Rattus norvegicus: one gene and its partner. Each later gene encodes a partner of the first gene's protein in a complex. Links are inferred from orthologs where the notes say so. Each region holds a gene or a part of one and is shown on either strand. Other genes may lie near its edges. The genes, in order: Gipc1 and Plxnd1.

The links.
Region 2: the proteins of Gipc1 (region 1) and Plxnd1 are in contact, whole or in part, in a crystal structure (PDB 5V6T), measured with the Mus musculus proteins. The link is inferred for Rattus norvegicus from reciprocal best matches to the Homo sapiens genes GIPC1 and PLXND1. Residues at the interface, in NP_061241.1 of Mus musculus: His61, Glu141, Ala142, Leu143, Gly144, Leu145, Thr146, Ile147, Thr148, Asp149, Asn150, Gly151, Phe156, Lys158, Arg159, Arg190, His191, Tyr192, Glu193, Ala195, Arg196, Leu198, Lys199; in NP_080652.2 of Mus musculus: Glu1400, Met1889, Glu1893, Arg1899, Gln1902, Gln1904, His1905, Glu1908, Ile1918, Tyr1919, Cys1921, Tyr1922, Ser1923, Glu1924, Ala1925.

The regions. Positions count from the first base shown.
Region 1 is NC_086037.1:41,381,042-41,385,350, forward strand, and holds the start of Gipc1 (PDZ domain-containing protein GIPC1), read right to left. Parts: upstream 2,902-4,309; 5' UTR 2,864-2,901; coding exon 2,576-2,863; intron 1,885-2,575; coding exon 1,699-1,884; intron 1,605-1,698; coding exon 1,424-1,604; intron 787-1,423; coding exon 674-786; intron 1-673. UniProt on the Homo sapiens protein: May be involved in G protein-linked signaling.
Region 2 is NC_086022.1:150,698,012-150,701,816, forward strand, and holds part of Plxnd1 (plexin-D1), read right to left. Parts: intron 3,331-3,805; coding exon 3,154-3,330; intron 1,102-3,153; coding exon 970-1,101; intron 782-969; coding exon 681-781; intron 598-680; coding exon 468-597; intron 1-467. UniProt on the Homo sapiens protein: Cell surface receptor for SEMA4A and for class 3 semaphorins, such as SEMA3A, SEMA3C and SEMA3E. Plays an important role in cell-cell signaling, and in regulating the migration of a wide spectrum of cell types.

The DNA of each region.
Region 1 (4,309 bases):
GCATGCAGGCATCAGCTCCAGTGGTGAGCTGCATGCACCCACTGGTGTGGCTGCCGCTGTTACTTATTTAATGTAGAGGATCCTTTTGTCTGCACATATCTGTGTGTCCTATGTGTCTGCCTGGTGTCTGTGGAGGTCAGAAGAGAACACTGGACCTCTGGACTGGAGTTAAGAGATGGCCACCCGTCATGGGCACTTGGAACTGACCTGTGTGGTCTGCAAGAGCCACACCTCCTATAAACTGCTAAGCCCATCTCTTCAGTCCCAACATCCAGAAATTACCATTCTCATACCCAGACATATTCTAAGTTGCCCAAACTGGCTTTGAACACTTAACTCCTATCCAGTAGCCTGGAGAGGATTATGGGTACGTATCTACACTGGGCTGCCTTTCATCTATTTTCATATAAGAACCTGGTGACAAGGTCTTACGGTTTGAGCGAATGTGAAATCCTCCTGCCAGAAATTCCGTGCTGGCAGCCCTTTTTGTTTACATCGCTAATGTCTGCTCTGACAAGAAGTCACTGAACCTACTGGACAGGGAGGAGACCCCAGGCTGCCCGATGGACCACCGTAGGTCCCAGAGCTGGTAAGAGTAGGCTTAGGCAGAGAGAGGTGTCCTGAGCCTTTCACATAATTAGAATGGTGTCACCGGCCCGGGGGGCTCACTCACCAGATCCTCCACTGTGGCAGGGCCCCGGGATCGGAGCCGGAGGGTCCCTCGGCCAGTGCCCAGTTGTGGGCCTGAGCCAGGGTGACCACCTGATGAACGCTGGCTGATCATATCTGTAGAAGGCAAAGGTAGTGGGGAAAATCAGCCCACGGTAACACAGTACGCAGGCTTCACACAACCACCTCCCACCACCTTCAAAGTTCTGCAGGCTCCTTGGGTAGGGACTGGGTTCCAGCAAGGCAGGACTTTGCATGGATGGTGAGGGGCAGCTAGGGGCCAGACATAAAAGCAGCTGGAGAGAGAATGGAAGGTAGCTTCTATTTGAAGGAGTGAGGGTTGAGAAGGGTGAGTGTAACTGCTGAGTCTCAGATAAGCCCTTTCTACCCACATCAGGGGTGCCTCAGGCCCATTCCTGAGAGTTAGTGAAGCCAGGTAGAAACGGGGGGGGGGGGGGGGCGCCGGGCACAGGAGCCATACAAGGCAGCCAAGCCTCACTTCTCCAGGCTGAGGGGGCTGGCCAGGGTTGGGGGCACTCGGCTGGGCTAATGGCTCCTGGAAGTCGGGTGTGGGGGCGACTTCCTTCTGGCTGGGCTGTCAGCCAGCACTCAGTTCTAGGGTAGGGTGGGGCTGCCCCCACTCTGCACTGCAGGCTTGAGTGCCACCTGCTGGTGGTTCCCAGGACTACAATCTGTATTTCTTAAGAGCTCAAGGTCAGCCCGGTGGGTGGTCCAGGTTGCAAGAATGGCTCACCAAACGCCTTCCGAGGTTCGGTGAGTTTGAGGGTGAAGGTGCGGCCTCGGGGCAGCTCTTTGAGGAGCCTGGCAACCTCATAATGCCGACAGCCCAGCAGGCTCTGCCCGTTGATGGCTTCAATCATGTCACCCACGCTGATGAGCTGGATGTGGTCAATCACACTGCCTTCCTTGATGCGCTGTGGAGGGGCAGGCATCAACCCTGGAAGCTCCACTCTAGGTCCCATTAAAGACCCTGGCCACTGACTAAGGGTGTGCCACCCACCCGGGCACCTTAATGAAGGCATAGCCGGCCCCGTTGTCGGTGATGGTGAGCCCCAGAGCATCCTCAGACTTGAATACTTCCACCTCTTTGCGCTGCCCCTTGACATGGGCAAAGATGAAGTCCTCCAGCCCGATCTGGCCCCCCAGCAGCTTGTCCATATCCACTTTATGGGTGTTGAGGGTACAGAACATCACCTGCAGAGGTGGGGCAAGATGCTCATCCTTCCTCCCTGGGTCCCCTATCCCAGGGACTGGTAACACCCAAAGCCAAGGAGAGGTCCACTGGCACATCAAATGCTATGAGCAGGATTTCTGTCCTGGTAAAAGCTCAAGAGCTAGCTTGACATACAGAGATCACTCGATACTTACTGAGGGGTGAAGGGGGTCTAGACTCCCACCCAGCCTTCCTACCCATCTCCACTTGAATCTCAGTCCCACTGTTGCCCTCCCAGTGGCTTCTCAGCTTCTAGCTTGGAGTCATGCCTCCAGGGCACCCTGGAGAAATAGAAGCTGCTCCTAACACCCTCCCTCCCCCTCTTGAGGTCCCACAGTATTTGGGGCACAAGCTTCCCAATGCCTTGGAAACCCAGCTGCCACCTGTGGCTGTCATCCTCCAGGACACAGGCTACTTCAGACCTGATGGGAAATCAGTATCTGCAGACCCACAATTTACTAGATTACGAGCCTCGTAAGGCCCGTTGGGAAACCCCCCCCATACCTACTAGGGTACAAGTCTCTCAAGGCCTCATAGGAACTCAGTATCCTCCTGTAGCCACGCCTCCTAGGTTCAGGGGCTGCTGGCCAGCAAGGAACACGAGCCCCAGCTCACAGGAATACATGCCCAGGCCTGTGGCTTGCTCTTAAGGGACCGTGGTCCCACTGGTACCTCAGCAGCCGGTAGTCGGAAGGCCTCAGCGATCTTGCCGTACAGCTCCTTGACATTAGTGAAGCCCTCGATGCGGCCCGTGGGGCTGCCGTGGGCCAGCTGGGTATGGAACACGAGGCGAGGCCGGAGGGAAGCAGGAGGTGGGGGCAAACCCATCTGGGATTCCCCTGCTCCACTTCCACCCAGGGGCCCGGGCTCCCCGACGCCCAGCCCACTCCGGCTTGGCTCCGCCTCCTCATTTTCCACCAGAGGTGGTGCTTTTTTCCTTCGCCCCAGTCCCAGTGGCATGAGCAGCCAGAAGTGGGGACTTGGCCGGGAGACCTGCGAAAGGGAATCGGGCTTCACTCTCTGAGTACCAGCCTTGGGTGCCATCCATCACCACCACATGGTATCGACATCAACCAACATGGTTCTATTTTGCGAAGCAATGTTTCTTAACCCAGGGGCCTGGTGCTAGTCAAGTGCTCCACCACCGAACCCCACCGTGTCTGATCACGTGACTCAGGCTCCCAAGCACAGGGAGCCAGGACACCTCCAGCACATTGCGGCCTATATAACGTTGTGTTGCGTTTGCGTTCTGCTGAGGCTTTCATCGCCCCTGCTTGGCTGGCGCTTGTCCACAGAGCTGCAGCTCCTCCCGTACAGTGGAATCTGCTGTACACATTTAAAGCTATGCAAACTCTTCTTCCGCTGTATTGTCTGAAGAGTAACAACACAAGATTCTGTCCATGGTCAGCATAGGTACAAGGCTCTCTCCGAATCGGCCATTTTGGCCTTGTGCATGTGGACCCAAGCTACAAGTCTAGACTGCCTCTTACTTTTTAGTGTGAGGCAGTTATCTCTCAGTTGCTCAGCTGTCCTTGAACTTGCAATCCTCCTGCTTCAGACTGCAGAGTGGATGGGATTACAGGGAAATAGCAGGACATCTGCCTCACCCAAGTATTTTCTGTATACAGTGGATTCAATCTGGGCACCCAGAGCTGATGTGAACGAAGAGAGGTGACTCCAGATAGCTCCGATGCTGGGGTGCAGCTCAGTGGTGGAGCACGTGCTAATGAGGACCCGGTCTCATCCCAGCATCAGAATGAAGCCTCGCACTGCACAGTAATAATCCCCACAGAGATACCCATTACAACCCCACACCCGCTGCTCTGTGACCTCGTTCAATTCTCCTTCTGGATGAGGCATGAGGCCGTTGGTGCATCCTGCCCTGACCACACCCACTGGAGCAGACAACTGAAGGGAAGATAAAATGCTGGATGGCCCTTTACTTTCCATTTCTCTGAGAAGGCTCTCACTCTGTCGTCCAGGCTGGCCTAGAACTCACCAACTCTACCTCTGTTCATCTTGCAGTGTTGGAGCAGATGGAAACCACCAGACACAGTGTCTTTTCATTTTCTATCAGTTGCAGTCATTAATGCTCTGTGCAAAACCCAAGTTTGGGTCTGGTTTATGTAAAAGAAAAAAACAAACAAACAAACAAACAAAAAACCATGAGGAAAGATGCCCTTGTAAGAGCATCTTACAGAGCTGGAGAGAGAAGGACCCCCAAGGCTCAAAGCCCACCTAGCCTACCTAGTGAGCTCAGGCCAGTGAGAAATCCTGTCTCAAAACGCAAGGTGGAGGGCTGGCAAGATGGCCATCACCCCTGCAGGCCTGAGTTTAATCACCTGGGCCCAATGAAGGGAGAGTGCGCACTCTTGCAAGCTGTCGTCTGACCTTTACATGTGCACT
Region 2 (3,805 bases), on another chromosome or scaffold:
AGCATGACTGATATGTGATCTGCTGGAGTAGACCGGCAGGACCACTGGAACCCCTCGGGGTGACATAGGAGGGCCTTGTCCTTAGAGGAGTCAGTGAGGAGGGAGCTGGGAGGGATCCAGGCTGCTGGGCCACCCACCATGCTGCGGGCAGGCATGGTTCTCCTGACACTAGCCACCACCCCTGTCTGTCCCGTATCAGGGCTAAGTGATGGCCGCTAACACTCCCAGGAGGAAGACAAGAAGGGTGTGTTCTCTATCTGGGTGTCTCCAGTCAGTACATTCAGAGACTGCCCCTTAAATGCCAGCAGTCCTCTGTGCACTGCTAAGTACTCAGGTTGCATGGTCCTAACTGTTGACTAGTCCCGCAAGAGTCCATGGCAGAATGTTGAAGAAGTGGCCCAGCCATGGAGATGGTGCCTGGCCTCTGCTGTGGCCCCCAGGCTTTATGCTGGTGTGGCTGCACTCACCGTGTAGTCCCGGTGCACATCAATCTCAGACGGCAGTACTGTCATGGCAGGGCAGCGGCTGGGGCCCTCACTGGCACTGGTCCAGAAATGTGGCAGGCTGGAGTTGGCACAATCCTGCTTGAATGTGCACCTGCAGGCACCATGGGGTTAGGTCCTAGGCCAGGGCCACTACCCACTGGCCCTCCCTGCCCTGCCATCACCTTAGGGCCTCACCGGGTCTCCAGAGTACACCAGCCACAGTAGGCATCGGCCGCGCCCACACAGTCCCCGCAGGTGGAGTGTACCTCACACGCCGCCACCTTCACTCGGGCCATCTGCAGGCAGAGGGAGCCCAGCTGAGCAAGGGTGCCACCCTCTCTTGTAAGGCTAGGGTAGCTAGGTCTGGAGGGTATGTGGGGAAAACGTAGCCTTGAAGCATCACGTCCCAGACATGAGTCAGCAAAGACGGAGGTGGGGAAGGAGGGTCAGCATGTGCAAACGATGGCTGGCCACAGTTCCTTACCTGGTGGGATGTCATCAGGTACAGGTAACCAGGATCCATGGGGTCAAACTGCATGACATGGTGCACGGGCTCCCCGTAGGCCACAGTCAGCACCCGCCGGCTTACTACCTGCATGCTCTCATTCAGGCTGATCTGTAGAAGGAAAGGCCATCACCTACTGGTGCCCAGGACTGCCACCCACAAGGTCAGGCTGCTCCAGGATTGGGGTCTCCTCTCCCATCCTGCTCAGATGGTCCAGGGTGAAAGGGAAAACGGGGCTCCTAGGTGGACTTACTCTCATTCTCACTGACTCAACAGCGCCCCCACCAGGAACTCCGTTCCTGCTTGACTCCAACATTTCCCCCAGGTATCTGTGTGGGCTGTAGCCAAGCCATTCATTCTCTGGGAGGCTGCTGGTTGTCATGGCTACTAGCAAGGCTTGGATTCTGTTTCTGACATGCACTCATGTACAATCCAAATGAGTTGTTTCCCACCCTGAGCCTCAGTTTCCCTAGTAAATAAGAGTCAGGATGAGCATAGTCCCGCAGAACTGTGGGGATAAGAGAGATGGCAAGCAGCAGTCCTGGGCAAGGGCCCAGGCCCCTCTGCGTGGCTCTCCAAGGTCTGTGTTCTCCTCTGTCTCCGCAGGCTGGGTGTCCAAGTATCCAAGATGTTAATCAGGGGATAAAAGTTGGCGGTCTAAACACCTTTGAGGCCGCCCACTCACCTTCCTCTGGGTTTCTAAAACCTGCAGAGGTTCCCTACCAGAAGAAACTGGCTGTGGCATTCGATGCCTTGATGATCTACCTAGCCACACCCCTAGCCACACCTCTAGCCACACCCCTACCTCGCTCTCACTTTACTCCCACTGTCTATACATTACACGCCTTGCCCATCCAGGCCTGCCTCACGTTTGATACACATCTTCCTGACAGTACCACTATCCTTTTTATTCTGGGGTGTACCAGGTCAACGCTGTGCCCTCCCCAAGTCCTTCCTGGCTCAGGCTTGCCCTCTGAGATGTTGCCAGGAAGCCTCTTGGGATGCTAGCAGGGGCTCACACTACACCCGCCTACCCCAGACGCCAAACAGATGCCAAGTCATATCCACTTCCTCAGTGTCCACTGAGTCCTGGGGCCCCAGCTGAGGGTTAAGATAGACGTTCCAAATAGAGAGAGGGCTGGCAGGAGAGACACCAACCTGCTCATCGCTAAGGCCCTGTATTCGACCCCAAGCATGGCACACAGAAATCAACTGAAGGTGAAAAGCAACGACCCCATTTCTAGCTATCTGGTCACTCTGGGGGTAGTCGCCTCTCACAGAGGACCTCGGCGGCCTGCTTCTGTGGAATAGAATCCTTGGCTTGATGTGAGAGCTAAAGAACTAGGTGAAGCCTGTGAAGTACCCTGAGACACTGTGTAAACAGTAGGTGCCTAATGGCTGCAACTTTATGGGTAGAAGGGGAGAGGGCTCTGACCACAGTGCTGCTCTGCTCATTCCCTCACTGGACAGGGAGACAAGCTATGTCCTCAGGTCACACGTCGTCGAGTAGTAACACTTAAAGGCAGAAACCAGTCATCTGACCACACAGCCGAACCCTGGTGAGCTGAAGCTGAGTAACCGGCAGGCAGGCGTGGGGCCCTGTGCTCTCCCTAGGCACCACAGGTAGTTCCAGACCTGTGGGGCCCAAGCCCCACCCCACCCCGACCCAGGCAGCTGCCAAAGGGAATTAAATTATGGACTCTTGAGTCAATTAGGCTGGGCCTGGCTGGAAGACTGACTTTCCCCACAGAGAAGTGGAGAGGTGGTGGACAGGGGTGTTCAGTCTGCTCTGAGGTAAGAGGAGAAGCTCCTTGCCCTCCCTTAGCTCTGGGACTTGCAAGGTGATAGACCTCATGGTTAATCCAAACACTGGACCCCTGAGGTGATAGCCAGCAGGGCTGTTGTGTCCCTCATTGAAGTCCCCCAACAACTGCAGCCAGAAGGGAAACAGAGGCCCTGAGGGAGCAAGTACACAGCAAAGGTGAAGACGCTGTCTGCGGAGCCCCAGGCTGGGAGATGCCGAAAGCAGAGGCAGACATCACTCAGGCCACTTCCTTCCCTCGTCACAAGCCACTGGGGAGGCCTAGAGGGAAAACTGAAGAAGGCAGAGTGACTCTGGCCCTCTGTGGCCCACCCCAGGGAGCTCCAGTCCCGCATGCTTACCTTGAGGAGCCTCCCCGTGGCAGTGCCCAGAAAGACAGCTGTGTAGTTGTTAGCATTGGCCACAGCCACGGCCGTGAGCCCTGGAGCACGGAACACCGGCGATGCCCTCAGTGGCTGCAGGATGGTCAGTGGGTGCTGAAGGTGGGCTGCTCCACAGTCCAGCTGCTCCGGCTGCAGCTGTGGGGACAAGGCAGCTCTAGAACCTTCTCTGGCTCCCTGCCTGTCCACACAGGCGGATCTCAGCTCTCAGACCCTGCTTGAACACCCCTGCTCCCAGCGGAGGCCCGGCTAAATAGATCTCCAGATGCTACTCGGGTCAAGCCTTGACCTTGGATGACACAGCTACTCCTAGGAGATGGCTGGTGTTTAAGATGTATGGGGACAAGACTGGGTGTGGGGGGGGGATGGAGGGAGGGAGAAAGGGATGAAGGGAGGAAGGAAGGCAAGACATGCTGGCCAAGGGTCTGGCCAGTTTGGCTTTTTTTTTTTTTTTTTTTTTTTTTGGTTCTTTTTTTTTTTTTTTCGGAGCTGGGGATCGAACCCAGGGCCTTGCGCTTCCTAGGTAAGCGCTCTACCACTGAGCTAAATCCCCAGCCCCCAGTTTGGCTTTTAAGAGACTAAACGTACAGGGGTACACACTTTTAGGCCCAGA